Linked DNA regions of Daphnia pulex. Each later gene encodes a partner of the first gene's protein in a complex. Links are inferred from orthologs where the notes say so. Each region holds a gene or a part of one and is shown in the gene's direction. Other genes may lie near its edges.

Region 1 (3,130 bases):
ATTTTGTTTACATTTCGATTCTAATAATTTGTAACCACTGATAACTCACCAGGATTTCCTTTTTCTCGACAATAATAATTGGTCACATCCTCCTCTTCGATAGGAGAACTAGAAGCTGAACGTGGTAATTTTGCATCATCATTGGGCATAATAGTTACATAATTTAATTTCATGGCAGCATCTTCATAAGATGATGCAGGTGAAGTAGCATCCACATGATTGACTTGTAAATTCTTTAATATGATGAATCTGGAGGCAGCAGTAAATAATTCACCCTATTAAAATTAGATTATGATATTATTGGATCTGCATTAAAATGTGTGCTTAGATGTTATTTGTTTACCAATCCAGGTGGTCCATGGAGTGTGATATTGGGAACACCAACATCTTGAATTGTTAATGAAATTCCAGGTAATCCACCCACATTTTGCCAAGATGTACGGGTGAAGAAAATGTTCTCAACTTTGGACAGCTTAAACTTGTGCTCATGGGCCAAGCGTTGAGATCCTTCTCCGGAATTGAAGAGATAACTAAAAGCAAACAGGAATTAGACTAAAATACTTTTGCTTTAATTTAAAATGTTACCATGATTGATCGGTGAACATATAGAGGGACCGTGGTGCACCACGGACACCAGAACCCAGAACTTGTAATGTTACGGTTCCTGGTGGGTATTTTGTTTTAGTAATCTTCTTTGCCTGTCTTTCTGATTGAAGACGTGCGACATGACTCGTATCTTTCGGCATGTTGGCGAGTAAATTTAACACACGATTTTTATTTTTTATATCGCCGAATACCTTTTGATTAGAATGAAAACTACGTACAGTAACAACTACAACATTTAACAATGCAAATCGCAAATTCATTAGATATTTCTTGATAATCGGGATATTATGGGGCCTAATTAAAATTTACAGGCACTAACTTTTAACTTTAAACACGTGTTGTCATCTAGAGGGTTGAAAAGCAGAATCAAAACACCGGGCTTGGCAACCACGTCGGTTAAAAACTTAATTTGAAACTAAACTGTTTTTTATTTGTAAAATTGAATCAAATAAATTTAAATTTATTATTTGAAAAATAAATCACTTAGAATAAAAGGAGTATTAAATTATTTATGTTTCTTGTTTTTGAAACTGGCAAACGGGCAATATGGGCGCCATTGAGAGTTTGCTTAGGCTCATATTCGTTAACTTGGCATAGAGATTGAGCGTGGCGTCATTGTCGTACCGTCCCTGTCACCATCATCCATTTGTTTCGTTCTTATTGAATCTTTCTTAAACTTGTGTTTCGTTTTTAAATTGATAGTCCTTAATTTTGTCAAGTCCTCCACAAACTTATTGTTATCAAAATGGGCGACAAAGTTGACATGAGCTTGGATGATATCATCAAAACTAGCCGTTCAGCCGGCCGGGGCCGTGGAGGACGCGGCGGTCGTGGTGGCAGTTCTCGTGGAGGCAACCGTAATGCCGGCTCAGGACCCGTTCGTAATCAAAGACAGGGAAATGCTGGGGGTCGTGCTGCACCTTACGCCAAGGTAAATATTTGTTAAGTTATTCTTCTTGTTTTTTTATGTTCTATCAGAAAGTATTGCATAATCCTTGGTTGACTTGTTCGTCTATTTCAAATCCAAGCTAGTCTGTATCTTACAGTCTTCGTGATGCAATAGTGCTGACTCTTTGTGTATGTTATTTTTAGGGCAACCCAGATGGTGACTGGTCTCATGACATGTATGAAGGTGGACCAAGGAAAAGCAATCCCAGGTTGGGTGCTGCACCGAATGCTGCTGGAGGCGGCTCTTCCAAGCTTGTTGTTTCTAACTTAGACTTTGGTGTGTCAGATGCAGACATTAAGGTATAACATATATTGCTTCTCTGTCATGATGAACATGTATTGAATAATTCTATTTATAGGAACTTTTTATGGAATTTGGACCATTGAAACATGCTTCTGTGCATTATGACAGATCAGGCAGATCTCTCGGTACAGCTGATGTTGTGTTTGAGCGCCGTCTTGATGCCGTCAAGGTAAACTTCATGAAACTTGTCAACTGTAGGACACACAGCATCAATATTTGTTTCTTTTCCATAGGCAATGAAACAGTACAACGGAGTCCCATTGGATGGTCGATCAATGGTCATTCAGATGGCTACTTCCGATTTGAACACAATCGCCAACCGACTAACCAGCCCTCGAGCTAACACTAACAACGGGCCGCAACAAAAGAGGACTGGTGCACCAGCTTCCAACAGAGGCCAGAGAGGAGGAGGAGGAGGAGGCCAGCGTGGTCAGCGAGGTGGTGCTGGTGGTGCTCGCCAACGCAATCCCAAACAGCCTGCACCGACAGCAGATGAGCTTGATGCCGAGTTGGAGTCATACAGGAGTGAATTGAAATAACGCAATCGTGTAATGTTCACCAAATTATTTGATTTCTTTGAGTCCACACGTGGTGGATCAGAGGTTGAATCACTGACGCAAACTCCTGATCACCTTTACTTATTCTCCTCACCACCACCACTTTTTCAATAATGTTTTTTCTTTCGTTCTTTTCATACAAATTCAGTGTTTTGAAAGACAAACCTGTCAGACCTGGTTTTAAGACAAAAAAAAATGAAGCTTTCAGCGAAAAACCATTGTTTTTTTATTTGTGATTCCCGAGATGTGTAGAAGCCAAAAGATCTAGTAACGTCCAATTGTATCAAATTGAGTGTATTGGAAAAACTACAAATTTTTTTTTTAACAAAGTCATGTTTATAAAGATTGTGAAGTGCTTATTATGAGCTGCGAAGTGTACGGCGGATTGCTTGACGTAGTTGCTGAGCTACTGCAGCCTCGTTGATGCTGTCGATGATTGGAATTGAACTTCCACGGTAAGGAATTCGTGATGGTTGAGCGAAGGCTGCGGCTTCGCTGTTAAACTTGGTTGGTTTAGAGAATTGGAAACCTGTTTTCGTTACAAATGTTTTGTTACTATTAATTCATAACTATATTTAATTTAATCAGGTATTACTGTGGAGTAGAATTCCGGCTCGGGGGTGAAGTATGAGGTTCATTTCGGCGTTGACTTCTTCCACTGTTGTAATTTCATTAGATGTCTGACCCTGGGACAAATTGGACTCGTGCTGGTCTG
Region 2 (3,247 bases), on another chromosome or scaffold:
AGAAATAGGCCGCCACGCGCGCCTCTCTGATTTGATATATTCGTGTATGTATTTTCAAGTGCTTGTATACCAATCGCTTACAAGTTGATGAATGATGATCGCTGTAGTGTTGCGTGTAACGTGTATTTATCGGGGAAAAAACAAAAACAATTCCCGATAAGCTAAAAAGAGAAAATTTGACGCCATTTCAGAATGGGCTTAAAAATTGGGTCCCAAGAATAGTGAAAAAACATAAGAAAATCATTGGGCATCACTGTATATCCTTTATTACAACAGTATCCCGGGACCAGACAAATCGACTACCGTCGTGCCGTTTAACCCCCCCCCCCCAATCCCTTATTGGAAACGTGTAAAACCATAATTGTCCTCAGCAGTAAATGATATATATAGTTAAGTTGTGCGTGCCTTGAAAAAAGAAAAACAGAAATCGATTGCCTCGCACAAGTTGGATATTGCCACAGCAATTGGTGTTCTCCTTTTACCCACCTTTTACTCCTTGCCGGAATATAGCCACGTTTCTGCGAATTGGTTGTTTGTTTTTGTTTTTTTGTTTTTTTTTGTTAAAAAAGAAAGAAAAAGACGCGAAAAGACCATTGTTTTTTTCTTCCTTTGAGATGTGTCGCTCGCTACGTAAACATTGCCTACTGTCCGAAGCTGAGCGTCGTCGTGAAAGTGCTTTTTGCGCGCACGTATTTTCATGTCAAAGCGAAATACACGGCTTGAGCATTTGTCTCATTCATTATATAACTATTGCAGCTTGAACTGTTTGCTTGTCTTAAAACACGTTACTTTTTGTCACTTTCTTGTTCTTTGAGCGGGAAAAGAATCAAAAATTCAAAATTCACTACGATGTTACGATGAAATTTAAAATCATTGATTTACAATACACACACTAGTTAGTTAAGCCAATCAGTTTTACTTGGTTTATCACAAGATATTTTATGAAGTTTTTATCAAGCTCTTTAAATTAAAAAAAAAAAATTACTTTGACAATGAGTTTGATCATTTGCGATTACAGAAATAACGTAGTTGCAATGTTTTATGCGTAGCCTTTTTGTCCGAGAAACCCATCGCTTAAAATTAATTTCTCACTATTTTTTTTCAAAATCCTACCAGAGTTATCCTACGTGGCTGATTACTTTTTCGAGGGTTTTCTTTCTCATTGTTGGCTAGTAACACACTAACATGGCAACATGACTCGGACAAACTTTTTGCATTGACGATAGGTGACACTACTTTAGTACAGGATGCGCCCGATAGAGATCACTAGTTTAGAAGCCAGCAAAAGCATACGCAATTTCTCCTCTGAAACAATACACTGGCATTCAAAAGTCGAATTACTTTCAAGTTACCGCGTTGCGCGTTCCAATTGTAATTCATTGAAAGTTTGAGACGCCGGTACAGACAAACGTCATCATTATCATCACAATCATGGACATCTCTAAATTAAAAGTAACCCGCTTAACTTTATATTTGAGTGAAACTTGTCAATATTTCCAACTTAGAATCCTGATTGAGTTTGTCAAATCAAATGTCTATTATGTTTTTGAACTAGTGATAGGCCTACTGTGTGCATTTCATCTTGACTGTTGTTTTCATGCTAGGTTGTGGACCTTAAAAAAGAGTTAAAAACACGAGGCCTCAGCACCATTGGCACTAAAAATGAATTGATGGAAAGACTGCAAGATGCTGTGCAAGGTAAACTTTTATCATTTTGATTATTAAACTGTTTCCATGTTTATGTTCAAGCTTTTTTCCGTGGATGTTAAGATGACGATACTGGAGATAATGGCGCCTTAGACAATGATGACCTTTTGGATGAGGAGGCAGTTTTAGCAGTAAGAACATTGGTTTTATACAATGTGATAAACTTATGCAATTTTATTTTTGGTATAGGATGAAGAAGCTATTTTAGAGGAAGGAAATGCAAATTTGATCGCCCAAGAAGATGATGCAGTTCTTTTAACACCTACTGCATTGAGTGCCCCCAAAGTTACAGTTGAAAAGTTAGTTACTCTGTTTGTTTGGAAAATAATTGCCTCAAGATTAATGATGAAATGAATAATATTTCAGGACTGTTCAGGACTCGAAGAATGAAATAGTTTCTCCCCATAAAAAAATCATCTTGAACAGAAAGGTGGTAACTCCTCCATCAGATTCTGGCACAGTTTCACAGGAAAATGACGACCACCTTAAATATGATGCCAATAAAGGTGATGAATCTGACTCAAAGGAAGAAAAGAAGGTGATTAAACTTGGTTCCTTATCTGCCGAAGAAAGAGCCAAACTAAGAGCACAGAAATTTGGTGTTCCTATTCCCGATTCTGTGAAGAAAGCTGTTCGAGCAGAAAGATTTGGCGGTACAAATAGCACAGAATCAAACACATCAAAACCTCAGGTATTTTCGATTGATCAGCTCATCGTTCTTCGTGTTTTCATGTAGTGAATTTTTATTTAAGGTTCCTGATAATGACAAACTTCTGAAAAGGCAAGCTCGCTTTGGCGTCGTTTCTAATTCTAATTCCGAAGTTGATGAGAAGAAACAGAAGCGAGCAGAGAGATTCGGAACTACGAGCACTGCGGTCGGCAGTTCTGACGAACAGAAGCGCAAACGTGCTGAACGTTTCGGACTTGCCTGAAATGTTCGTTTTAAAGTTTATTAATTGACGTACAGTTAAATGAAACAAAGACTTGGTTCGATCACAAAATTTTTAGTTTTTTAAAATTAAATGTGACCTGATTTCTTATCCCGATAAAAAAAAAAATACTAATTTGGTGTATACTTGAAACACATTTTCTCATGGGTCCGAGTTAGGTTGGTCGGCGGAGTTGTTTTGTTTCTAGTTTGTAATTGAAATAACCTGATATGTTGGTGCGCAATTTCACTTGATTTTATAAAGAAAAGAGCAGCATGAAACAAAGAGATGAAATTTAGTGAGGGAGTTCTAGGCTAGTGGCAAGTCGAAGGGAGTAGCGGTTTAGGTTAATGTAGAAAATTCAAGTTGGAAGGGAAATAATCGTGCAAAGGTAATAAGCAACCCGCCACTAATAAAGTGTGGGTTCAAAACCCTCACTATGTAGTGTAGGACGCTTTTTTAGAAATCTGGAAAGAGACAGCATGGTCCTATACCATGAGGGACAGGAACAGTAAGTAAGTCCCCTGTACTACAAAAGCATATTACAACTCAAATGCTGCAATAATAGGCTATAATATTTTTTTCTCTACGCGATTTTACTAGATATTCGG
Region 3 (3,504 bases), on another chromosome or scaffold:
TGTAAATCACCGGGATATATATAACGGGCCAGCGGGTCCAATCTCCATAAAGTGTCGAGGCACACCAGCAACAAAAAAGCGTATCATCGGAATCGTATTACCCTATAGACGTTTTCATTTGAAGGGGAGAAGGAAGAGTTTTAAATAAAATAGAAGGAAAAAAAACCCTTTTTTTTCCTTTATTTCTTATATATTTTTATTTTACTACTCTTTGGGTATAGGCCAACGAGACGAGTCCAGTGACCAGCCAAAAGGTCCAGGGAAAGAGAGAGAAAAAGAATCTTTTTGGGCAAAACGAAACGAGACGTTCGCAGATTTACGACTGCGATATGTTATTACGCACACACGGGACCGATTGGCTATCAAAATAGAAGAAGAAGAAGAAGAAGTTCTTTTGGTGTGTGTAATGATGGAGAGAGCAGCCAAAGAAAAAGGAGGTCCAGTAGGAGCATCAGCAGCAGCCCAGGCCAGGCCAGGCCACAAGGCGCGCTTGGACGCCCAGTCGCTTTTATCGTCAGTTAACGGGCAAGAAATTTGCTTATTTTATGGCCGTCTTCTTTTTCTTTTCTCTCCTAGAAGAAGAAGAAGAGGGGGACTCGTAAATTTCCCTTTTTTTTCTCCTTACTACCCCCGCTCTCTTCTTCCATCGACTATACAGCTGTAAATTCTTGTAAAGTCGATGCTAACTCGTTAGTCGTTAGCGTTATATAGAAGCCGTTCTGGTTGTAGTTGTTGTAGATGTCTTATGTGCTGTGTGCCGGCGCTGTGGGTCCAGCATGCACTGGCAGAGAGAGACTACGACTTTTTGTTGCTTTATATTACCCCGATGCCCAAACACGGATCATTTGATGATTGCGCGCTGTGAAAGAAAGAAAAAAAGAACAAAATATAAGAAAACTGAAATCTATATAGTCGTAGTTTTTGAAGAAACGGGCATAGCTGCTGCTGCTGCTGCCCATCCCAGTTGATTTGGACTCGGTTCTTTTGGCTTTGGCGCATATTATTGCCGTGTAGATATATATATATTTATCGGACGTGTAATAACATTCAAAATGGCGCAAGCTCCACAGCTATAGTTTATATGTGTAGCTGGGACTTGGGAGAGAGAGTATAATATTCATGCAGCTAGATCTCGTCTGATAGAGGCTGGACGCCCTTCGCTTGTTGAGTTCATTGTGTGTGTGTGTGTGTGTACTAGTCACGCTTGATTACGGTGTGTGTCCCGTGTTTGGTAACAAAAGCATTTCCACCTATCCGCCCACCCTACGCCTTTTTTATTTTATTTTTGTTATTTTGGGCCAGCCAGTCGATAAACGTATCGTTTAACGTCCGACTAATCAGAGCCAATTGAGGAGACGACATTACCACCACGCATTCCTTGCCCGACCCCTTTTTTCTTTTATTAGTGAGTTAGGAATTTCAAATTTCGCGCTCCAACTGCCATCTGGCGGATGAAGAAGAGACTTGGCATTGGAAATGGCGGGACGACCGGCTTCGCGTTAGTTCGTCTGCACACACTGTGTTTTGTTGACACGCGAGTAAAGGTATATAAACCGCTTTTTTTTCCCGAAATTATAAGAAGATGGCAGTCGCCGAATTGGAAGAGCTGAAAAATCATTTTAAAACGCACACTCGAACGAGGGAAGTCTCTGCACATTCGGCCAAGGTTCACACGGTTGATTGGAATTGCGATGGAAGACGGTTAGCGTCGGGTTCCTTTGACAAGACGGTGTGCATTTTTACTATGGAAAGCGACAGACTGGTTAGTATTAGTCCCGGCTTATCAATCATGCAGCAATTATAATGGAGCTTGAGGCATTCTGTTTCAGGTTAAGGAGCAAACGTTTGTGGGACACAATGACAGTGTCGATCAGCTATGTTGGCACGAAACCAATCCTGATTTGCTCAGCACCGCCAGTGGAGACAAAACCATGAGAGTTTGGGATGCAAGAGTTAAAAAGAGTGTCGCCACAGTAAACACCAAGGGTACAATTAATTACGAAATTATGCTTAAACATTCAATCCTTCATTAATGTGATTTGACAGGAGAAAATATCAACATCACGTGGTCACCTGATGGAAATTCCATTGCAGTGGGAAATAAGGAAGACCTTGTTACTTTTATTGATGCCAGGAATTTTAAGATTAAAATAGAACATCCGTTCAAGTTTGAAGTCAACGAAATAGAATGGAACAAGGCTAGCAATCTTTTCTTTTTGACTAGTGGGCAAGGCTGCATCCACATATTAGAGTAATGATGAATTTTCTTCCCCCTGCTTTCAATCTAGCATGACGCTATCAATTCTCTTGTATCTAGTTACCCAGAGCTTACGACCGTTCACGTCACACAGGCTCACCCCGCCAACTGCATTTGCATCGAATTCGACCCCACTGGACGGTACTTTGCCACTGGGTCGGCCGACGCCCTAGTCTCTCTGTGGGATGCCGATGAAATTGCTTGTTTGCGCACTTTCTCCAAGTAACATTAATGCCAATAATAACGTGCCGTTTTCTATTGAGGTTATTCAATTACTGACTGGGTGTTTCCCCTTTAGGTTGGATTGGCCAGTTCGGACATTGAGTTTCAGTCACGATGGGTCCATGTTGGCGTCCGGGTCAGAGGACTTGCTGATCGACGTCAGCCACGTAGGTACAGGCGAGCGCGTTATCAGCATTCCAGTTGACACGCCAACCTTCACAGTCGCCTGGCATCCACGCTCTCACCTGCTGGCCTACGCCTGTGACGATAAAGACGACGGAAACAGAGACGCCGGAACTGTGAAGCTCTTTGGTCTCTCTAACGAGTGATGGGCCCATACGAATCAAAACTAGGAGGTCTCGTGTTTTATACAGAATCCAGCTTTTTTTTTTTTATTTTTTCACTTGCAGATTTTCTTGTTTACTCTTGTCAAGAACTATTTGCCAAGCTTACAAACTTCAACTGTGTTGAGAGAGATACAAGTAAAATGGATCTCAGATCAGAGATCTTTTCCAGAAAACTGAATTGTTCCAGGACACATTTTCCCTTTTTTTTAACGTTCAAACATAATTAATTACTCAATAATAATTTTCGTTATTACTAGATCCCATATTTGTTAAAAGGTGATGACCGTTCGGCACAAATTTTTAGTCAATAATGAAAAAAACAGGGCGTTAACGTTTAAAGAAATACGACGCTTTTATGCAAGCAGTCCATCTAGGTAAGACTTATTCCTATCCTTATTCTATTACTAAAGGCAAATTAATTTAAGTTGTCGTGATAATAAGCATATTTCGTAGAAACAGATAGATTGATAGTTTGTGTTACATCATACGTGCCGTTGATTATGTACAAGGCTAAAATGTCGTTTGATATTTCGTAACGGTAGTTGGTAAACACTAAACACACACACCCATATATAGGCAGCAAAGCGGCACATAGACGAATGTATCGTTTTGCTCGAGTAGATTCATGTTCATTGTTCTCCGCAGCTAGAACGTGAAATACTCGGAATGCTTCTCGTG
Region 4 (2,812 bases), on another chromosome or scaffold:
TTAATGGACTATCTCTGCCTAATCTATCAGCCCAAACAGACCAAGGCTGGCCATGAAGACTTGTTGGACTGTCATCGTTGGACGCCATCTTTGTTAACAGAAAATTTTTTCTTAATTTCTCCTCTCCGAGACTCCGTCTTCTTTCCTCACCTGCAACAGCGTTGCAACTATAGTGAAAGCAGCTCGGCAGCTACCACTGCCCTTGATGCCTTGCCTCCTCTAATTACTCTATGGCATTAACACCCATTGGACTATTTCAAAATTACCTTTAATATAGTACTTGTATATTTTTCCTAGAATTAAAAAATGCGTTGCGTTTCTTTGCCACTTGAAGACCTTAATGTGTAAGCGTACTAAAGTTGTTGATTCTATTCGTTGGCAATTTATGAAATTTTATGATGATTTAATGATGAAATTATCTTCTAGCGAAACGTTCTAGCAATAATTTAAATCCTCAATCGTCCGTCTATTTTTTTTTTAATTTTGGCAAAAGATTTTATGCATTGCGGAACTCAAAAAGTACATTTTTCTTTGCGCTAAGTATCTTTTTACAATTTTCACACATGGACTGCAACAAGTATGACTATGAGAACAAGCTGCACATAATCATAATGACATCAACTGATAAACACATATGTGAAAATTCCCCATTGAGGTACCAAATCTCTCTCAACTCAGTTATTTTATATTACCAACCAATCAACCATCTGACATCTTGACAAATACAACCATTAATTGACATGCACCTTTTATACTTACAAATAAATGTTGTTTGTAAGTATCTTGCACCCAAAATTATTTTTTCACTGTCAGTTACACACCTGTTTAAAATGAATCTGTCAATCTTGATCACCAATCTCAATTTTCAGGACAATAAAAACAGGTTTTCCTAGAATGTAAGGCAACAGTTTAATTAAAAAGAAGAGATTGACGTTAATCTGGAAACGAGAAAAACAACACTCCAGATCCAGCATTTCATTGGATTCTTTCCTTGACATCACCTGATTGATTCTAAACCGTTCAATGGTTTCCCAAGTATATTGCTGATCTGCTGGACTAGCTCTCTTTCGGTTTTGCTAATGTTTATACAGGCATGCAAGTTTAACCCTAAACAAAATAGATACCTAATCAATCGGATGATTTTTTAAAAAGCCATGTCTCCTTCCTTTCATTTGAGGGGCGTGTCGTCTGCTGGCGGATTTAAAAAACAAAACAAAAGACGAGCGAACTACGCTTACGGCAGACGAAAATATTTTTTCATTTTTCAGTACTTTCCGGCGTTTCCGCAGCGACATTTCTCCTAGGTTTGTCATCTCATTCTTTCGCCCGGTTTGACATCTCAATATTCTCAAAGCTTTACCAGTTAAATTGTATTATTATTGGTCTTATTTTGATCCCAATCATTATTCACAAATGGGAGATGGTAATTTGACTTGTTAGTAATATTATTTCGGTTAATTTTCATCTTGTACTTCGTTATGTAGAAGAGATCATCCGAAGGAGGCTGTTGTTTGATGGCGAAGGAACTGGTGATGAAAGAAGACTTAATGTATTGCTTAAAGGTTTCCTAGCTTGGTGCAACTCTACAGATAGTGTTGAAGAAACGTAAATTAATCTTTGTATAAAATTCTTCTATACTCTATATGTGATGTATTTTTATTTGTTTTACAGACAAGCATCCTACGCTAGAATGATTGGTCAGATTGCCCAATGTGAATTTGCTGCCACAAAATCCTTGAGGTGCTGTGAAATGAACACTGCAGAACAGCAGCACTATGACGACCTCTACAACCAGATTGAAGAAGGAATTGTGTCAGCTAAAAAAGACATTGAAGCAACCAAGAAGGAGTTGCAAGAAGCAAGACAGATTCGCAGGAATAAAATGGAATATGATGCTTTGGCTGCCATTATTCAAACACAGCCTGATCGAAAGAGCAACCAAGAGAAATTATCCCTATTGCGACAGGAACTGGAAGCTTCAGAATGTGAATGTCAAAAACTGGAGGCCAAATTAGAACAAAGACGCAAACAATTTCACTTACTCATTTCAACTATCCAAGGATTACAGCAACTTCTTAACGATGATGAAGCATCCTAATAATTGTTCATTTTGTATGCATCCCTTTTTTCTATTTTTGAATAATAATGCTAACAAATAAAAATCATTTGAAACACCAAAAAAGCTATGTATGAATAAACTATCCAAACGGTACATATACGACTTGGAATGCCATAGAAGAATGTTTCAAAAAACACCACCAATTCTTCTCAACTATCCATAGACCTCTGGTAAGGAATGGGTATAGGAATGAGTGACTTAAAAAAAGGGCGTTTACAACGCAACAAGTTTTTTCGCGGCTTCGGCAATAGCCTTGGCGCCGATTCCAAAATGTTCTAGGAGAACCTCTGGAGGACCGGAGCGGGGAACTTCGCGAACTGCCAAAATCTTGACGATAATATTTCGTTGTTCGGCTAGAGTTGAAGCAACAGCCTCACCCAATCCACCTTCTGGGTAATGGTCTTCAACGGTCAAAACCCGGCCGTTGCAACGAGTGGCTTCCTTCAACAGCAAATCGTGATCAATGGGTTTGATGGTAAATGGATCGATGACAGCAGCCTTGATGCCGGCTTCCATCAGCATGTCGGACGCCTTCAGCGCTTCGTGGAGTGTAACGCCGGCGCCAACGATAACCAAATCGTCTTGATCGTGACTACGAACAACGTGACCCTTTCCAGCAGAGAAAACTTGTTCGTTCTCGTAGATGACGGCTGTGTTGGGGCGAGATGTACGAATGAAGCAAATTCCTTTGGT
Region 5 (3,632 bases), on another chromosome or scaffold:
CATCAAAGTCATGAGAAATAAGCACACTGGATTACCTGCTGGTTTTGGATTTTGTCAGTTTCGAGATGAAAAGCAAGCAATGGAAGTTCTACACAAATTGAATGGCAAAATCATTCCATACAGTCAGCCGGTAGTGTATTAACTTTTAATTTACCATAATTTATATTAGTTATATTATCTGTTTTCCCACTTTTAGCCAAGCCGTTTCAAGTTAAATCACAGCACAAACACTAAAGGTTCTACAGCCGATCATGCACTGTGGGTGGGAGATTTGAGTGCTGATGTAGATGACTATGGCCTTTACAAATGTTTTTCTGCAAAATATAACTCAGTTCAATTGGCAAAGGGTAATTTGTAAAATTTCTGTAATGATTTTATTGGCAATTATCTGAACTTCTCGTATTTTATGTTTAGTGGTCAGAGGCAGCAATGGAGAAAGTCGCGGCTATGCGTTTGTTAATTTTTCTAATGAAAGTGATTACAAAGATGCGCTGACACATATGCAAGGTCACAGAGGACTCGGCAGCAACCCACTTAGAGTTTCATTGGCTATTCCTCGTAATTACAACATGATACCTGGTAAATGCACGCTTAAACTTTTCTTTGGAGTACATTTCATTTCATACTCTTTTAACTTTTAGGATCCTCATCCAGTACATCTTCTACTTCTACGTTAACTGCATCGATTGCTTCGTCAATTGTCCAGGCCGCAGCCAGCGGCCAGCCAGTTCAACCTCAAGCTGCTGCTGCAGCAGCTGGCTACGGACAGTACGTCGATCCAGCCTATTGGCAACAGTACGGTGGCTGGCAAGGATATGGTTACCAAGGCGGATACGGCTATGATGGTCAACAAGCTTATGCCGGATATGGCGTTGCTGGGCAAATGCCTGCTCAACCTGAAGAAGATGAGTTTGAGCTCATAGAACACAATACACCCGTCGATATTGAGAAACTGAACAGAGAACTTTTTGAGCGCAATCAGGATTTGTGGGATGCACTAGATGAAGCTCGCTGGACAACATTCAATCCAGAGAAAGCCGTTCCGGCAGTTAAAGCTGAGGAAAACGGAAGCAGTACTCCTACAGTAGTGGCCGCCTAATTTCTTTTTATAAAACACTATTGACCATCTCATACGATAAAAAAACAAAGATTCATTTCTGCTTGTCATCTGATTTTGTTTTACAGAATGAATACATTGATTTCAAATAAATACAGATTTCCAATTCTTTCACTTTCTGTATTATCTAGTATATTTAATTATTGACATGATTCTACACCCATAAAACATTTCCTCCACCCACATTTTTTAAAACATGCACTCTTACTCAATCGTAAATCACGACATACTTTCTTTTTTCCGCTAGGTGTCACTTTACTACCCAATAGCAGTCGAAAAAAGTTGAGCGTCATTAGTTCACAGCCGGGCAAACATCAGCAATTGTTTTCATTGACTTCACGAGAAACATTTCTAGATAGCTCGAAATTATCTGTTTTCGGCATTTTCTTGACCGTAATTGAACTTTGGTTCAGCAGTATTCTAGCACAAAATGGCTTCAGGAGGCAGAGTACCAAATAATTCAACTTCCTTATCCTTACATGAAAGGTATAAATCATTAGGCAATTTGGGTTTGTTATGTCGTATATGCGATTGAAATAGTTGTTTGCCGCAATTTTCCCCCTGTTAAACATTGAATTTCCTTGCTTTTATAAAGTATGTGTTGATTTTCTTCTCATTTGCTGATTTTTAACGCATGAAAATTTTTCGTTACAGATTCTCCAAATTACGAAGCTCAGCAGGGGGTCAGAAATTGGCTGGAAAACTGCAAGGGGCTAGAAATAATGCAGCTAATCTTCAAAAGGCATCAAGCAAGAATAGCAGACTAGCTCAACAGATGGAAAGACGAAATGCATCAGTCAGTGCTGCTTTGAAACTGAAAAAGGTGCAATTCCTCGTTTTTAATTCATAACCAGATATACTTACATCATTTATACTGTTATTCAGAAAAGCATCAAACAACGCCTTGGAGCCACAGTAAACACCAGTACTCGATTTCGCGGAACGGCCACCCAAACTCAAAGGAGACTCACAACCAATCGTGGAGCTGGTCGCGGGAGTCAGTCGCGAGGATCTCTGCGAGGAAGTCGAACGCAAGGGCAAACGGTCACCCCAACAAAGATAATTCGAGGCCGGGGCGGACTGAAGCCCATTGTCAGCCAAACAATCGTTCGTGGCGGTGGACAAGGAAACAAGAGAAGCACTCGCGGAAGAATCATTTCTCCATCGAAAAAGCCAGCCCCCGTTGCTGCCACAACCAATCGTTCGCCGACCAAACCTTCGCGTGCTAGAGGCAGCGTGAGAGGAAGACGAGGTGGTCGAGGGCAGATGACATCTTCATTGATTACCGGGCAAGCTGAAAGTCGTATCCAGCGTGGAAGAGGAAGAGGACGAGGCCAACGTGGTGGTAAGGGACCCAGTCGTGGAGGAAGCAGCTTGCCGACATCTCCGCGCGGTCAGACATCCGGACGTGGTCGAGGGCGTGGTCGAGGTGGCTCTACCAAGGTCAGCAAAGAAGATTTGGACAAGCAATTGGATCAGTACATGCAAAAGACTCGTAGCGCTCTAGACAATGATATTGAATCCTACATGTCTAAAATTGGGGACGTTGAAATGAATTAAATATGCAATAATCTTTCTCCAGTCGTTACCTCACCTGTGCTGCTCCCCAACTTCAAACGAAAGAACCTTCTTACTAATAACTCCCCTTCGCCAAGTCTTGATTGACTATTAACAATGTTTTAGTCCTTAAAGTTAAAAGTGAATCCAATTCAGAATTTGTCTTTGAGAAAATGGTTGGACTGTTGTGAAGAGTCTAGACAGAAAAAAGAGATTTTGGACAACCTTGTCTTGATTTCATTCTAGCACTTGATTAAATGGTTCTTGTACTTTCCCCCAGTTTTTGGAGTCCCTTTTTGCCGTGTGTTTCTTGCTTTTCCCTCCTGTTACGGCGCACTTAGCACATGTATCTTTTTATAATTCATTCATATTTCATCCGAGGACTTGAGTGTGAAAAGGTGTGCCTGTGAAACGAGAAAGAGAAACTCATCCCAAAAAATACAAATGATTAACCTCAACACTAATTTGATTTTTGTTCCTTCATTTAATCGTCGCTGATCATAGACAAAATTACAACAAATTACTCTAATGATTGGCCAGCAGTAATCAAGCGGGACCGATCGAAGCTAAATTAAATGGATAAGCTACAATTTTCCTACACAACTCAAGTCGAAATCAACTTGCTGATGGGCAACGGAACCCAACGAAAGAGCAACATTGTACAGAGTGTCTGGTGACCATTCGAGTGGGATCCTTGGATAGGTGCCAGCGTTAGGAAGCGAAGGGAAAAGACCCAGTTGACGCAGAAAAAAGCGAAAGGGTTTCGAACTCAATGCGGAGGCTTCCGCTTCCGTCCAAGGGACTATCGGGCATGGCGTATTCAATTTCAAGCTCAAACAGGTAATTGGATGACGGAATTCGTGGTCGGAGTAAATGCCCAAACGTGCTGCACAGGCCGTCAATAAAGACGACTGAATCCAATCGAGTTGTTTCTGAAATCCTATATTTATCGATACAT
Region 6 (3,857 bases), on another chromosome or scaffold:
TGTTGGTGAGAAAAAAAAAACGGAATTAATAAAAGATTGAAACATTTTTATAACGGCCCAGATTTCTACGTGTATAAAGCACTGTAAGTTTTCTTCGCCCTTTTGCTCCGAAAACCCGCTGGGTTTAAAACAAAAAAAAAGCATAACAGGTTGGAATTTAAAAAGCTTGCCACAGCTTTCTCTGCCACTCACATTGTTACCTCATTCTATCTTTGATTAATACACTATCCGCGTTCAGCGTGGCGAAATTTCAATACTGGCGAAAATTTAACCTTCGTCTATTATTACAATTAAAAAAGACGATTTTAAATACCTGGTCGAATAAGTTTCGTTTCTCTGGGCTTAGTTGTGTAAGGTCCATGACCGAGAGAAAAGAGAAATTTTCCTCTCGGAATAGTAGAAAGAAAGAAAGTCCCGAGATCCGTATGTTAGATTGCGCGGCTCAACTGGAACTTTTCGAGTTAAGAGTTAAACTTTTTGATCGTTTTGACACTTTCAATTGTCAAAACATGGTGTTGGCTGTTTGTTGGGTTTTAACTCGACCTAATAGTTCCACTACGTCAGTTCGTGTTGTTCCACTGTGATTTCGCTTTATAAGTGCCCAGTCTGAACGAGAATAGCAGTGCGATGCGACCGATCTGTTGGGTGGTTCACACATCAAGAAGGCAAGCGAACGAATGTAGGCTAAGGCCATTAGATTTTTTGGATTCTAGCAATATTATTATCAGAGAGGAAAGCAGGTTTCCTTTCCTGGTATTTCTTCTTGCAGGCCCTCTGATGTTTACTGAATGCACTACGTGCTGTTGCCCTAGCGCTGTATTTTGCTCCCGGCGGCTTATCCCGTTAATAACAGCCTTATGTATTCACGGCGGCCTGAATTATTACAGGTTATTCAGTAATCACTCCACAAGTTTATAAACTCGTAAATTATGCGATCCGCGGGGGGATATAAACTGCAGTCAAGGTTTTCCTGAAGAAAACTTAACACACTGCTGCGCCGCTACGTCTCAGGTGTGACCAAAACACGTATCTTGGCTATCACATTTTATTATATATTTTTTTATTTGAAACATTTCACTTTTTTAAAATTGGTCTGGTTGTTCTGTGTCAAAGTCAACATCTCGAAAATAATCAAAAAGGCAAGTCTATAACAAATTTGGGGGAGTGTTTTCACACAAGTCTAGATACGGTATCATGTCTGATTCCAATAGCTGATTTCATGGGAAATCAGATCTAGTTAATCTAAGCAAATAAGATTAAACTACAAAAAGCTGAAGGGATATCGGTTTCGATTCAAGGCCCAAGGGAAGTGACGTGTAGGGAATAATGGGAATAAGTAAGTTGCGTTCAGTGTATGACAACTCATTGATGATATTCATTATATCTGAGAGTGTCCTTGATCTTATTATTTTGGTCTTTTCAAATCTGAAGTTGACCACATTAAATAACTACAGTTAAAATTTTTGAAACATCATTCAACAGCGCTTTAAATCGGTTTAGATCTTCATCGAACCAATGAAACCAAGTCGTAGTTCACATTTCTATTTGTTTTTGGCTTATTTCTCAGTTGAATTTCCCGGGTAATGGCTGAAACTGAAAAACCTTTCTCGGATTTCCGCAAATTAGTAGATATCGTAGCAGACGCTTCCGCATGGAGACCCAGAGCGCCACAAAAATCAAACTTTGCCGGTGTATATTCTTGTTTTGATTTTCAAATTAAAAGTTAAATTTACTGAGTTACAAATTCTCCGACTTCACGAATAACTAAACTGTTAAAGCAGTGATTAAAGTGCGAAAATATGCCTAACATAAAATCGTTTTACGTGACTGTCCTCTCTCAAGCCCTATCTCCTTGTGAGGAATTTCTAGCTGCTGGAACCAATTTTGGGAATGTCAACATATTTAAGTATTGAATTTATTCTTAAAATAATATTACTGAAAAAAAAAATTTTATTAACATGTATCTCTTCCTAGTATCAAAAGTTTGTATGCCGAAGATGAACAGGGTCCACGTGAAAGCCTCACATTACCACAGAAATGCTTTTCTGTCAGTACCAAACCTTTGCAAGCTATAACATCTTTAAATGATAACTTACTCGTTGGAGGCAAGAACTGTATTGAGGCATTTAGCTGGAATCAATTGGTGCTTCCACAGAATAGTGATGAGAAGGTGAAACCTTGCTGGAAAGTTGATCTTCGCTTGCCAACGTAACCATATTAGAATATTCTGATTATTACATTTATCATAATTAACTGTTGGTTTTATGTAATTTTATAGTGACTTTGGCACTAAAGAAACTGTAGATTGCATGATTAACGGTGAAAACTCAACTTTTGTTGCTTGTGGAGACAACAATATTCATCATGTAGATCTTGAATATGGGAAAGTTAAACAAACCTTCTCTGGTCATACTGATTTCATTCACTCAATGTCCCTGGTGTATGTAGATGTAGTTACAATTCAAGTTATTGCATAAAAACATTAATTACTTTTTATTGTGTGATAGTGGGAATCAGCTATCAAGTGCAAGTGAAGACGGAACAGTATGCATCTGGGATACTCGAAAATCAAAACCTAATCACGTAATTACACCACATTTGGAGTCTAAACTGAATCGACCCCATCTGGGAAAATGGGTTGGTGCTGTTGCTATGAATGAAGATTGGTTGGTAAGTCTTGTTTAAGGAAGTAATCTAATCGATGAGAAATCACTACAGTTGTTATTTGTCGCATATCATAGGTGTGTGGAGGAGGCCCGCACTTAGGACTTTATCATTTACGATCTTTGACAATGAGTAGAGTATTACTCGAAGAAGACGTCCATGGTGTTAACAACGTTATGTTTCACGAAGACAATATAATCGTCGGCGTAGATGGACCGTTTGTATACCAATGGTAATTTTTAAAAATTTAAATTTCCCCCTTGACACTAATGTGTGAGCTGGGTCAATTATTTTTAGCTTATTTTCGGGAGATATTACCGTCAAAATGCCTACAAGTCCCCTTAGAGTCTACAGTATTTGCCTCCAGAAAAAGGATGCAAATAAAGTAAAAAAATATTATGATAATGAAATGAAAAACAAATATAATCTTTGGATTGTTATATTAGTTGCTATTCGTCGGCGGATCCGGTGGAGACATTGACATTTGCACCAGTTCTAAACTACAAGATCAAGTGATTCGTTGTCTTTCATGAATTATGTATCGTCATTTGAACATTTTCATCTCGCTTGCCCTTCCATCAATTATTATACAAAAAAAAACAAAGACATCTGCCATGTCTTTAGATTAATAATGTCAAATTGTGATGTTTTATATCGAGTAATGTTCACAAGAAAATACATCGTGATAATTTATTTCTGGGTTTATTGAATCAATGTTTATTTTAGGAGTGCAATTTAAAAAAAATTAAAATTTATAAAACATGCATTGACGGCATTGACGGAGATTGGTCCGTGACCTGGCCGTGATTAAATTGATTGGCCAACAACGCGCGAGCTCTAGAGGAAGGAAGGAGATTTGGCAACGTCAAAGGCTAGGACGAAGCAAGCAACGTGCTTGGAAAGACTTCTCAACTTGAGAGAAGACTTCTCAAGTTCCTCTCAACAAATTTACGTTTTGATTTCATTATGTCCGAATTGCAGTCAGCATTACTTCTTAAAAAACAGCTAGCAGGTAATTCAGTTGTTCTTGGAACAGGTTATGTAAGATGAAGAGCGTGCGAGTCGCTGTACTTTTTATTTGTTTCACCAGTTTCACTCATTCAATGGCGTTGGCTGACGGCTTTCTTGTTTGTTATATGCTTGACTTGAAATTTTTTATCGAGTTTAAGTGTTGTTTTAACATTCGTTTATTT
Region 7 (3,904 bases), on another chromosome or scaffold:
TTTCCTTCGCCTAAGCGTAATCTTACCTCGACTCCATTTCGACACCAAACCCCTCAAACCCCTCAAACCTGGAACGCTCCATCTCAGTATCAAGCCCCTCAAAACTGGAACGCTCCATCTCAGCATCAAACGCCTCAAAACTGGAACGCTCCATCTCAGCATCAAACCCCTCAAAACTGGAACGCTCCATCTCAGCATCAAACCCCTCAAAACTGGAACGCTCCATCTCAGCGAAAAAGTGTTAAAAGGACTCAGGAATGGGACTTTTAAATCCCCCACCCCCTGATATTATGTAACAGTTTTTCAAATTTCTTCTGTTCATGTACTCAAAGATAACACTTCAGTAATACATTTCAGTTCAAGTTAAATATGGTTAAGATATTTGTACAACCAATATTTTTTAACATTGGAATGAAATAAATACAATAAATTTCCTTTTCCATTATTTGAATGTATTTGAACTAGTATTAATTATAGACCTCAATGAGGTTTAACAGCACTTGATGGATACTCTTCTCGCTGATGATACGACTCGTACATGTCATCAACGTAAAACCGTCTCTTTCTCCAGTATTTCGTTACCATTTTGTCAAGAAGAGTTGACTGGGTAGCATTACAAAATACATGCTTTTCACCCCGAATCTTCCTTTTTGCTGTTTTGCTCCAGTGACGTTTACTGTGTCCCACCATTGGCCTTATCCATGCACCCCTAAGAAAACATAATGAATATAAATAACCAGGAATGAATAAAATATATTACCATCCTAAACGATAGAACCTAGAAACAACAGCTTTAACTGTTTTGCGCTTCCCTTTTTTGAGTGACCATTTTGTAACTGATCGGGTTTGCTGCAAAGAGGGAGTAGTTCTGCAAGAAAGTAAGCTTAATTTGTGTGCTTAATAAAATTTAAATTCTTGCTTACAATGACAGATTTTGAAGCAATGGGGAAATAGATGATAATATACTTGGGGTAGCATTCATGGAAGGGTATTGGACACACCGAAAAGTTGATTCTGACGAACCCGAAAAAAACCTTGATGTGCTAGGCAGCAAAATTTTTGCTTTGACTGAAACGACATTTTTAGAAATTGGTGAATAATTCGCCAATCGAAAAGCCGATTGAATAACGTTTTTCAAAGTAAACATTTTAGATTTTTATTTTTCTTGAATCGGGAGAAAATTATTTTCAGTGTTCGTTCGTCTGCTTAATTGAATCTTTTCATGCACGATATCGATATACAAATTACAAAGGCCAGGTCTTTAAAAGGTTTTTAGCAACTTTCATTGATTTTTATTAAATTAAAAATTAAATTAGTTTCAAATTTTAGTGGATCATGAATCATTACTTTTAAGTTGTAAATTTTTGCTTTGAAACCATGAGTATGAAAATTTGGCAACACAGTTGACTCCATGTTGAAGCGATTTTAACGTCTGTAACATTCATTCTATAGCATCCTTTCACCCTTGCCGAACGGACGCAAACTAATTATTCACGAACTATCGTGCTTTTTCACACTTCTGATTTCTAAAAAAATGGAGTCTAAAGGCAGACGTGTTGTCCAACAGATGCCGGATGATTTAACTAATATTGAATTTGAAACGAGTGAAGATGTCAATGTTATTCCCACATTTGACAGCATGGGCCTCCGTGAAGACCTGCTAAGAGGAATTTACGCTTATGGTACGTACAAATGAGACTTTCACTTGTTGAGACCTTGCTCCATTATTCACATTATCCTTAACCTACATGATTTTTAATGTTGAGGTTGGCTTTAAATGTTTCTATAGGATTTGAAAAACCATCAGCTATTCAGCAGAGAGCAATTGCCCCAGTAATCAAGGGGAGAGACGTTATTGCCCAAGCCCAATCCGGTACTGGCAAAACAGCCACATTTTCAATTTCAATTCTTCAGAGTCTTGAAATTCAAACAAGAGAAACTCAAATATTGGTTCTAAGCCCCACTCGAGAGTTGGCAGTTCAAATTCAGAAAGTATGTTATGGCATTACTTTCTGTAGTACAGTGTTTTCATTTAGCTTGTGTTTAGGTTATTCTGGCTCTTGGTGATTACATGAATGTTCAATGCCATGCGTGTATCGGCGGCACTAATGTTGGAGAGGATGTTCGAAAATTGGACTACGGTCAGCACATTGTTTCTGGAACCCCTGGACGTGTATTTGGTATATTTTGCTATTTCTGTTTGTTAAGTTTGGATTGATGATAAGTGTCTTGATAACTCTACAGATATGATTCGCCGACGTACACTAAGGACACGTTCAATTAAAATGTTGGTCCTGGATGAAGCCGATGAAATGTTAAATAAAGGGTTCAAGGAGCAAATTTACGATGTCTACCGTTACCTTCCTCCAGCAACCCAAGTATGTTTTATGATATTTCATAAGAAAAACCAATTAAATCAATCTTTTATTCAAGGTGGTTCTTCTTTCAGCCACATTGCCTCATGAAATCTTGGAGATGACCAGCAAATTCATGACAGATCCCATTCGCATTTTAGTCAAACGGTAAACGTTGTTAAAAGTCTGCTTGTTTTTTATTACTAATTATTTTATGTGGTTTAGTGATGAGTTGACACTCGAAGGAATCAAACAGTTCTTTGTCGCTGTCGAAAGAGAAGAATGGAAGTTTGACACGTTGTGCGATCTGTACGACACACTGACAATCACGCAGGCGGTTATTTTTTGTAATACTAAACGCAAGGTTAGTCACGATTAAATCTCTTCTATTGTTGATTTCGATGTAACACAGTTAGATTGATTTTAGGTTGACTGGTTGACGGAGAAAATGCGTGAAGCGAATTTTACCGTTTCTTCAATGCACGGAGACATGCCTCAAAAAGAGCGTGATACTATTATGAAAGAATTCCGTAATGGTCAGAGGTATTGAAATTTTCGTCTACCATATAACCATTCAGAGTAATAACAATTATTCGTTTATTCTAGCCGAGTTCTTATTACAACTGACGTTTGGGCTCGTGGTATTGATGTTCAACAAGTTTCGTTGGTCATTAACTACGATCTCCCTAACAACCGTGAGTTGTACATCCATCGTATCGGTCGTTCTGGCCGATTCGGACGTAAAGGTGTTGCAATTAACTTTGTCAAGAATGACGATATCCGTATTCTCCGCGATATCGAACAGTACTATGCTACACAGGTTGACGAAATGCCCATGAATGGTAAAATATTTTTAGCATGTTTTTTTTTAACTCTTTCTAAATGTGTTTGTTTTTAATCAATTTCAGTGGCTGACCTCATTTAATCTATAATCCATTTCGGAAAAAGGAAAACAAAGAAGTTGATGCGTCATGTTTTTATTTTGCTGGATTTTTTTTTTCTGTATCCCCGAAGATTTGGACTAAATATATGAAACTTGTGGCCGTTTAATTAATTGTCTTGTTCCATTGTTGGAGTCTAAAAATGACGTCTACTTTACTCGTAGATCTGAAGTAATATATGAACCTTTTGCTCATGAGTTATGACTTATTGACTTATGAGTTATGACACAGTATTTATAATAAGGCATGTTGATTTTTTTTACTCACTTTGAAAATACTTGCGACAATTCGAAACCAGTATTTGAAGGACGTTCCAAATTCCAATTACAAAGTTAGATTTGTTGTATCTCTAGTAGCTGAACAAAAGCTAGAAACTAGCTGAAAACTTGGTTGCTGAAACCCAGTACCCCACATTTCCTTTTTTCTGTTTGAAAACAGTTTTGGTCTGCTACAGTTCGAAGCACCCGGTTGTTGCTTGTTGGTGGGTGATGAAATCATTTGTCACCTCGTCAACAATGTCTTTTTCAACTAATAATTTAATACGTTTTGGCTCCGGCACTTCTAATTTATTGAGAATACTTGGTAATAATCAAATAGGAGCTGGAAACG

What was found.
Region 2: THO complex subunit 4-like (region 1) and SAP domain-containing ribonucleoprotein-like share a complex: the UniProt entries of both Homo sapiens proteins name them as parts of the transcription/export (TREX) complex. The link is inferred for Daphnia pulex from reciprocal best matches to the Homo sapiens genes ALYREF and SARNP.
Region 3: THO complex subunit 4-like (region 1) and THO complex subunit 3-like share a complex: the UniProt entries of both Homo sapiens proteins name them as parts of the transcription/export (TREX) complex. The link is inferred for Daphnia pulex from reciprocal best matches to the Homo sapiens genes ALYREF and THOC3.
Region 4: THO complex subunit 4-like (region 1) and THO complex subunit 7 homolog share a complex: the UniProt entries of both Homo sapiens proteins name them as parts of the transcription/export (TREX) complex. The link is inferred for Daphnia pulex from reciprocal best matches to the Homo sapiens genes ALYREF and THOC7.
Region 5: THO complex subunit 4-like (region 1) and chromatin target of PRMT1 protein-like share a complex: the UniProt entries of both Homo sapiens proteins name them as parts of the transcription/export (TREX) complex. The link is inferred for Daphnia pulex from reciprocal best matches to the Homo sapiens genes ALYREF and CHTOP.
Region 6: THO complex subunit 4-like (region 1) and THO complex subunit 6 homolog share a complex: the UniProt entries of both Homo sapiens proteins name them as parts of the transcription/export (TREX) complex. The link is inferred for Daphnia pulex from reciprocal best matches to the Homo sapiens genes ALYREF and THOC6.
Region 7: THO complex subunit 4-like (region 1) and eukaryotic initiation factor 4A-III share a complex: the UniProt entries of both Homo sapiens proteins name them as parts of the ALYREF/THOC4-EJC-RNA complex. The link is inferred for Daphnia pulex from reciprocal best matches to the Homo sapiens genes ALYREF and EIF4A3.

Annotation. Positions count from the first base shown.
Region 1 is NC_060025.1:2,695,818-2,698,947, reverse strand, and holds THO complex subunit 4-like, read left to right. Parts: upstream 1-1,143; 5' UTR 1,144-1,351; coding exon 1,352-1,537; intron 1,538-1,698; coding exon 1,699-1,854; intron 1,855-1,913; coding exon 1,914-2,027; intron 2,028-2,091; coding exon 2,092-2,397; 3' UTR 2,398-2,630; downstream 2,631-3,130. Other genes in the region: ribonuclease Z, mitochondrial-like, read right to left, coding at 50-275, 344-530, 586-866; uncharacterized protein LOC124203100, read right to left, coding at 2,775-2,944, 3,011-3,130. UniProt on the Homo sapiens protein: Functions as an mRNA export adapter; component of the transcription/export (TREX) complex which is thought to couple mRNA transcription, processing and nuclear export, and specifically associates with spliced mRNA and not with unspliced pre-mRNA.
Region 2 is NC_060024.1:915,590-918,836, reverse strand, and holds SAP domain-containing ribonucleoprotein-like, read left to right. Parts: upstream 1-1,294; 5' UTR 1,295-1,431; coding exon 1,432-1,452; intron 1,453-1,604; coding exon 1,605-1,698; intron 1,699-1,770; coding exon 1,771-1,838; intron 1,839-1,896; coding exon 1,897-2,006; intron 2,007-2,073; coding exon 2,074-2,398; intron 2,399-2,459; coding exon 2,460-2,639; 3' UTR 2,640-2,747; downstream 2,748-3,247. UniProt on the Homo sapiens protein: Binds both single-stranded and double-stranded DNA with higher affinity for the single-stranded form. Specifically binds to scaffold/matrix attachment region DNA. Also binds single-stranded RNA. Enhances RNA unwinding activity of DDX39A.
Region 3 is NC_060028.1:7,657,440-7,660,943, reverse strand, and holds THO complex subunit 3-like, read left to right. Parts: upstream 1-1,128; 5' UTR 1,129-1,582; coding exon 1,583-1,762; intron 1,763-1,829; coding exon 1,830-1,986; intron 1,987-2,046; coding exon 2,047-2,251; intron 2,252-2,317; coding exon 2,318-2,479; intron 2,480-2,555; coding exon 2,556-2,808; 3' UTR 2,809-3,004; downstream 3,005-3,504. UniProt on the Homo sapiens protein: Component of the THO subcomplex of the TREX complex which is thought to couple mRNA transcription, processing and nuclear export, and which specifically associates with spliced mRNA and not with unspliced pre-mRNA.
Region 4 is NC_060023.1:12,053,787-12,056,598, reverse strand, and holds THO complex subunit 7 homolog, read left to right. Parts: upstream 1-1,266; 5' UTR 1,267-1,413; coding exon 1,414-1,423; intron 1,424-1,484; coding exon 1,485-1,605; intron 1,606-1,671; coding exon 1,672-2,098; 3' UTR 2,099-2,312; downstream 2,313-2,812. Other genes in the region: ataxin-7-like protein 1, read right to left, coding at 1-88; transketolase-like, read right to left, coding at 2,333-2,812. UniProt on the Homo sapiens protein: Component of the THO subcomplex of the TREX complex which is thought to couple mRNA transcription, processing and nuclear export, and which specifically associates with spliced mRNA and not with unspliced pre-mRNA.
Region 5 is NC_060027.1:3,847,523-3,851,154, reverse strand, and holds chromatin target of PRMT1 protein-like, read left to right. Parts: upstream 1-1,391; 5' UTR 1,392-1,547; coding exon 1,548-1,603; intron 1,604-1,771; coding exon 1,772-1,940; intron 1,941-2,002; coding exon 2,003-2,677; 3' UTR 2,678-3,132; downstream 3,133-3,632. Other genes in the region: tRNA selenocysteine 1-associated protein 1-like, read left to right, coding at 1-130, 197-347, 415-579, 642-1,099; protein timeless-like, read right to left, coding at 3,259-3,614. UniProt on the Homo sapiens protein: Plays an important role in the ligand-dependent activation of estrogen receptor target genes. May play a role in the silencing of fetal globin genes.
Region 6 is NC_060027.1:616,707-620,563, forward strand, and holds THO complex subunit 6 homolog, read left to right. Parts: upstream 1-1,423; 5' UTR 1,424-1,799; coding exon 1,800-1,906; intron 1,907-1,974; coding exon 1,975-2,208; intron 2,209-2,278; coding exon 2,279-2,440; intron 2,441-2,507; coding exon 2,508-2,670; intron 2,671-2,741; coding exon 2,742-2,896; intron 2,897-2,961; coding exon 2,962-3,049; intron 3,050-3,110; coding exon 3,111-3,197; 3' UTR 3,198-3,357; downstream 3,358-3,857. Other genes in the region: SEC14-like protein 2, read right to left, coding at 314-361; ubiquitin-conjugating enzyme E2 G1-like, read left to right, coding at 3,631-3,676. UniProt on the Homo sapiens protein: Component of the THO subcomplex of the TREX complex which is thought to couple mRNA transcription, processing and nuclear export, and which specifically associates with spliced mRNA and not with unspliced pre-mRNA.
Region 7 is NC_060018.1:3,384,302-3,388,205, reverse strand, and holds eukaryotic initiation factor 4A-III, read left to right. Parts: upstream 1-1,404; 5' UTR 1,405-1,534; coding exon 1,535-1,682; intron 1,683-1,789; coding exon 1,790-1,992; intron 1,993-2,047; coding exon 2,048-2,180; intron 2,181-2,244; coding exon 2,245-2,378; intron 2,379-2,433; coding exon 2,434-2,522; intron 2,523-2,579; coding exon 2,580-2,718; intron 2,719-2,781; coding exon 2,782-2,897; intron 2,898-2,960; coding exon 2,961-3,196; intron 3,197-3,262; coding exon 3,263-3,279; 3' UTR 3,280-3,404; downstream 3,405-3,904. Other genes in the region: uncharacterized protein LOC124188409, read left to right, coding at 1-270; 39S ribosomal protein L35, mitochondrial-like, read right to left, coding at 481-709, 761-868, 924-1,147; ATP synthase mitochondrial F1 complex assembly factor 2-like, read left to right, coding at 3,784-3,904. UniProt on the Homo sapiens protein: ATP-dependent RNA helicase. Involved in pre-mRNA splicing as component of the spliceosome. Core component of the splicing-dependent multiprotein exon junction complex (EJC) deposited at splice junctions on mRNAs.